Yarrowia lipolytica: one gene and its partner. The protein of the gene in region 1 purifies or fractionates together with the protein of each later gene. This does not show direct contact. Links are inferred from orthologs where the notes say so. Each region holds a gene or a part of one and is shown in the gene's direction. Other genes may lie near its edges. The genes, in order: YALI1_D14462g and YALI1_C11271g.

Region 1 (3,191 bases):
CTGTACCTCTCTTCATACAGTAGGATGTTCATCACAATGGTGTTCGGTTGAACTCAATCGTCTTCGGATAGCACCGCTTGAATGAGGTTGAGATGATCATACGGGGTTGAATTTTTATTCGAAAGAGTCCCTGTGACGAATTGATCAATTGATTTGCGTCATTTGTTTCTCAATCGCTCTTTCATTTACCACAATACACCTCTCTCTGCACAGCCCCTCGTTTCAGAACGGGTACCTGACATATGCAGGACCATCCATCTCTTGATACTCCTCTGCAATATGATGCAATGTGCTGGTTATACAGTATCTTCTGTGACAATTGCTGTATACGGTAGTCTATCTGAGTGGTGAGATATATATAAATAGTGGACACTGCTCTCAGTCCATCGCACTCCCCTCACAACTACTTTCACCATCACCATGTTCTTCAAGTACTACGCCACCCTAGCCACAGCTGCCACTGGTGTCTTTGCAGCTCCTGTTCAGGACTACAGCAACAGTCCTTCTGCTACGCGATTCACCCTTCGTCTTCACCCTGGCGCCGGGGCCATGGGAATGAAGCCTCTCCAGCTCAGAGACAACAAGGTGGTCTTTGGTCTTGAGAAGGGCAACTCCTCCGTCTCCCCACTTGAGGTGGACGTTAAGGACAAGCAGCTGGCTGTTGTGTCCAACGGACCCTCTGGTGGCGAGATTACTGTTGCTGCAAACGGCCAGCTGGTTGTCTCGCAGCCCTCCAGTACCTCCTCCAACTCCACCGCTGGCTGGCTCATCCAGGGAGGAGGCTCGTTTGTCAGCGAGGTCTACTACAAGGGCTCTCAGGAGTTTTACTCGTGCACCTCCGAAGACGGAGCTGTAGTCGGAGGCCAGGAGGTGTACCTTCTGGGCAGCGCTAACTACACCTGCGAGGAGCCATTCAAGTTCACTCTGGGAGCCACTGGCGTCCAACAACAGAAGTAAGACGCCCACACTTATTTATAGAAATGAATTTTACAACTCATCACAACACCACTCGCACTGTAGAGTAGACACACCACACAGCTTCATCTCAACCAATACTGACCAACAGTTCAAGTAACGTGCATCTACAACCACTAATTAGTTAAAGAACAGACACAAATCTGACTCCAACAATTATACAAGATCTGTTCAACCCGTCGGATATCGTCATTCTCCAATTACAAGCACCTCACTTCCCACACAGTCGTCGCTACGTACAATACTCCTTCACATTTACCCATCATCCTTAACATAAAACACCCCGAGTGGCACGTGACCCAGCAACTTTATTGCAGTGGAGGTGGGAGATACTATGATTAATAAGCAGCAGTCCACAACAGTCAGCTGAAGCAGTATTAGCGGTATCAGACACGGTACGGCGACTCTGACCAAACCCGCTCAATACAACATTGCACAATACTGCATCCTTGAGAATGAACCAGGTTCCGAAGACATTTATTCTCAACACATCTATTTACACCGCCTCTACGACATGTCTCGAGCTTCTCCCAAAACACCTTTTTTTAGCTTCACAGTTTCGTCAAGAGAGATACTCGGTCAAGACCTCCAGAAACCATCGGCATGTTTTTTGTTGTGAGTATGGGAAGGCGAAGCAGGCGCAAAGACATGAATGGATGATGTCAGACGGGTGGAATCACGTGTTCAGACACCAGATCGGCCCGTGATTCGATGGGCTGTGGTATGGTGATGTTCGACGACGAGAGAACGGTGGATGGTGTCATGTCCGTGGTGTTGAGAGGTGAGGGATGGAGGAGTGAGCATGTGACGAAGTCTCCTATCTCAGCTGAGTGTCTACTCGGTTCTTCAGCTGTACACATGACATAACACTTTCAGCACGGAACCACACGAGCACGAGCACCACAAGCGTGTTGTTTTATCCTACAAATTTGAAGCCTCTACCAGGCGATGGACGGGCGATGGAGACTCCAACGGAGCTTGGCACAACGAGGTTGCCAAATTTCCACAGAACTAACGCAGAAAGACTTGACGCTCTCTCTGACTCTGCATCCGTCATACTTTGGCCCCCAGATGGGCCAATACCTGCGGTCCAAGCTGCTGGCGGACGTGGAGGGCACTTGCACCGGAGAATTCGGCTACATTCTGTGCGTGCTGGACCAGCCGTTCGACATTGGCAAAGGCAGAGTGGTGCCTTCCAACGGCTCGGCCGAGTTCACAGTCAACTACCGAGCCATTGTGTGGAGACCGTTCAAAAACGAGGTGGTGGATGCGATAGTGACCAACGTGAACAAGATGGGCTTCTTTGGCGACGTGGGCCCCTTGTCCGTGTTTGTCTCGTCCCATCTGATTCCTCCTGACATGAAGTTCAACCCTAGCGCAAACCCACCAGCATACGTCAGTGAAGATCAGGTCATTGAAAAGGGAAGTCGGGTGCGACTGAAGATTGTCGGAGTGCGAGCCGACGTGGGAGAAATGTTTGCCATTGGTACTATCAAGGAGGATTATCTGGGTTTGGTCTAGTGTACTATAATACATATTTATATGAACTGGAGGTAGAAGTGCAATCACTAGAAGGAGATATGGAGACAATTACGATCGCTACAAACACGGCGATAGACTGACCAGTAAGTGGAGAAGCGAAGCAGAAACTCCTTGACTGATTTTAGCACCATCTTTTACTATTATCTGATCTCGCCGTATAGAATTGTGTATCGTGTTGGTTAATAACCACGACGCCTGCATTATCAACCTAAACATAATGCAGATGAAGAGTGTGTCATCATGACATCTCCGTCATACAACTCCGTCAACATGCCACCAACTTCTCTCGTCACCGGCTCCACTGGATTTTTGGCCAGCCACGTGGTCGACCAGCTGCTCAGCGCAGGTCATAGAGTCATCGGTACGGTTCGATCCCCCCACAAAGCCGCACGTCTGGCTGAGGCCTTCAAGCAGCAGATTGCTTCAGGCCAATTGGAGCTGGAAACGCTTTCCGACGTGAGAAACGCCGGTGAATTCAAGGCCATTTTCGAAAAACATCCCGAGATCAAGTACATTTTGCACACGGCTTCCCCCTTCAACTACAACACGACTGACCCCGAGAAGGAGATGCTCCAACCAGCGGTCGAAGGAACTACAACCGTACTCAAGGCAGCCAAGGACCATGCCCCCAACGTCGAGAAGGTGGTTATCACTTCTTCGCTCGCTGCCATTCT
Region 2 (3,495 bases), on another chromosome or scaffold:
TCATTGCATCAACTCTAATCAGATGCACTTGTAGAAATACGACACATAATGGAAGAAAAGTTTTCATATTTGCATGAAGCGGATTAAATGCAGTTAGCAGTACAAGTACAATACCCAGAAGAGAGATTTGTCCAGTTTAAATATCTCTCATATGCACCTTCGGTAGCCGTAGAGCTATGTACATGACACCAAACTCTTAGTAACATGTACCGTTGGACTCCTGAGACTCTGCTGATCCTTTTGGTACCATACATGACCTACTTTTATGAACGTGGAACCAGAGGGAACTACACAGCTCACATCTATCTTGCATCCAATAAACTTACCCTACCTCAGCTAAAGTTGCACTAACAACCGAGGGTGGAAACATGAGAAGCTGTGAACAATGCGACGGTAACCGGAATAGGCAGCAATTAGACCTAGAACTAGCGCGTCTCACATGGTTCTCATGTTCCTAGATTCGCGTCTGCTCCATTTGGTGAAGTTACATGGTGGGCAGATTCCCTAAACGAGATGCTAAGATGCTACGTTGGCTACAAAGACAGTGAACATCATATGATGGTATTAAATTGTTTCCCCGAATCAATCTCTTTCTTCTTATTATGCCCTTGTCTTTGTAGGTCTTGATCGCACCATTCTATGTTCATTCTAAGAGTCCCACTAAAGACGTACTTAACCACCCTCCCAGACTAACTAGAGCGTCGTGAGTGGTGCCAGTACTCTCTTGACCTGGTCTAAGACTCCCGTCAACTTCCTTTTTCATCTCTAGCCCCCTCTCAAACCCCCGAGACAACTACCAGTGGCTACAGGGGTAGTGCGTTGTCTCCGCTTTCGACTAGCTTGGTCAATTATAGGCCAAATCGAAGACTGTTTTTTTCAAGAACAATTCCCACACCTCAGAGAGTCCATTTCTATATCTTTCGTGTAACTACAATCTCTTTCCTCATCCAAATTACTCAGTTTCCGCAAATTTCTCGATTTTCTTGGACTCAAAAGTCAGGTTCGTCATACCAGCCGAGTCCCGCCATTATAATGAGCCAACCAAATCAACCCTGCATACCCCTTGCCTTGAACTGGCAGCTCCAAACCCCGTTTTGGACCGTCTATTCCCCTCCTGGCTGCATGTCGCTTAGATAAGCGGAAGTTTAATGTTTCTCATAATCTCATTCATGCGAGATAACGACAGCGGTTGGAGAGCGCAATTCAGACATAATTGGAGAGAAAAACGTACTTCCAAACTCCTAACTACTCCAAAAAAACCATGCCGCAACTTGTAAATCAATTGCACCAACAAATGTCGATTAAAATACAAAAAGATACCCTAACTCGACAAATACTGAAGCCACCGAAATTTCAAACCCATTATTGAGACCACCCGATCGCCATCAACTCTATGATACCAAATACGCTCCCGTCCATTAGTCATCAGCCATCATTATGTTTTTTCTTTCTTGATTCCGCTTACATAAGCATCGACATATATTAAGGTTTCGGCTGTGAGATGGAGGGTAATGCCTCATTAGCGCCGCTGCAGCGAGCCTCACAAGAGACAGAGAGACAGGGGCAGCGCTCGGATGTCGTCACGTGACTGTTTGGTATGTAAGCCGGCCAAGTCCGGGTTGATTTCTGGCATGTGTCGATCTCCAGCGGCGGCTGGGTCTTGCTGGCCTGTTCCCCCTCAAAATACCCTAACCCTTGGAATTAACCTCTGCAGCAGTGGGACACGCCAGCGCACGATACGTTAGCACGGTGACGATATTGTTTTAGTGACGGGCATTGCAACAGCTACAGACCGATTTTTTTGACATTTGAATTTGAGAGACGAACGTGACACCGCCTCTTGGACGATACGCGACAGTTTACACAAAGGACTTTTCTACACACCACCTATGGCATCTCTACCTAACAGAAGCACGGTTTCCAAGGGCAAGTACTCGTTGACGGACTTCTCCATCCAGCGAACGCTTGGAACGGGTTCGTTCGGCCGGGTGCATCTGGTTCGGTCGGTGCACAACAACCGGTACTACGCCATCAAGGTGCTGAAAAAGGCGCAGATTGTGAAGATGAAGCAGGTGGAGCACACCAACGACGAGCGGCGGATGCTCAAGCTGGTGGAGCACCCATTTCTGATCAGAATGTGGGGGACGTTCCAGGACTCCAAAAACCTGTTCATGGTGATGGACTACGTGGAGGGAGGCGAGCTGTTCTCGCTGCTGCGAAAGAGCCAGCGGTTCCCCAACCCCGTGGCCAAGTTTTATGCGGCAGAAGTCACCCTCGCCCTCGAGTACCTGCACTCCCACAACATCATCTACCGAGACCTCAAGCCCGAAAACATTTTGCTAGACAAGAACGGTCACATCAAAATCACGGACTTTGGGTTCGCCAAAGAGGTCCGCGACGTGACCTGGACGCTGTGTGGCACGCCAGATTACATTGCGCCCGAGGTGGTCACCACAAAGGCGTACAACAAGTCTGTGGACTGGTGGTCGCTCGGAATCCTCATTTATGAAATGCTCACCGGCTACACGCCCTTCTACGACCACACGCCCATGAAGACGTATGAGAACATTCTCATGGGTCATGTGCGGTACCCTTCGTACCTGCATCCGGATGTGACTGATTTGCTGACCAAACTCATCACCAAGGACCTCACCCGACGATATGGTAACCTGCAGGGCGGCCCACAGGACGTGAAGAACCACCCGTGGTTCTCCGAGGTCATTTGGGAGAAGTTGTTGTCCAAGGATATCGAGACTCCGTATGAGCCTCCCATTCAGAGTGGAGTGGGCGACACGTCGTTGTTTGACAGTTACCCGGAGGAGGAGCTGGACTATGGAATTGTATGTCCGGACCCGTATGGAAAGTTGTTTGGCGATTTCTAGACGACCAACAGCCGACGAACGGGAGATTGAATCTGAAGAATGCAGGTTTACTGTTGATCGACTGTTTGTCGCAGTGGGTCCCACCAGTTGTTGTTAACTCGATGACTGTCTTCCAGGAACTGTATGGAACACGAAGCCGTGACTGGTCAGTCTCAACAGCTGGAGCAAAGGTTATGTAAGGAATGTATGTATAGAAGTATTAGGGAGAGGGGGGGGAGTGTTTGGGTCTGATTGCGGTTGTTGGAAATAGATGTTGGATAGATTCAATTGGGGGAGTATTGTGAGTCAATTGCAACTGTTCGTCCCTTGAGACCGATTCCGAACACATTGATGATGGGCGGGATCTGTGACACGACTCCATGGTGTAGTCTGTGACAGTCTGTTGAAGCAACCGTTGTTGTAATGGATACGGGACCGCATGTGTAAGGATCCAGTGTCTGCAACCTTCTGGGGAGGAGATCTCCACTTGTCGGACGTGGTTCTGTCCTCATAGAAGGATCCAACCAGGGTTTTCATCGTCGGTTCACGCTCCATTCTCTGGTTCCTTACTCTGTGGGGACACATCTGTGTATATAAGCGTATCGAGAATCTCACCGGCCACTCCTGGAGATCG

The links.
Region 2: the proteins of YALI1_D14462g (region 1) and YALI1_C11271g purify together in Saccharomyces cerevisiae (affinity purification with mass spectrometry; 3 studies listed by BioGRID, with this or other methods). This does not show direct contact. The link is inferred for Yarrowia lipolytica from reciprocal best matches to the Saccharomyces cerevisiae genes RPB7 and TPK2.

The regions. Positions count from the first base shown.
Region 1 is NC_090773.1:1,444,966-1,448,156, reverse strand, and holds YALI1_D14462g (uncharacterized protein), read left to right. Parts: upstream 1-1,923; coding exon 1,924-2,496; downstream 2,497-3,191. Other genes in the region: YALI1_D14477g (uncharacterized protein), read left to right, coding at 421-957; YALI1_D14453g (uncharacterized protein), read left to right, coding at 2,758-3,191. UniProt on the Saccharomyces cerevisiae protein: DNA-dependent RNA polymerase catalyzes the transcription of DNA into RNA using the four ribonucleoside triphosphates as substrates. Component of RNA polymerase II which synthesizes mRNA precursors and many functional non-coding RNAs.
Region 2 is NC_090772.1:1,125,276-1,128,770, forward strand, and holds YALI1_C11271g (uncharacterized protein), read left to right. Parts: upstream 1-1,889; coding exon 1,890-2,882; downstream 2,883-3,495.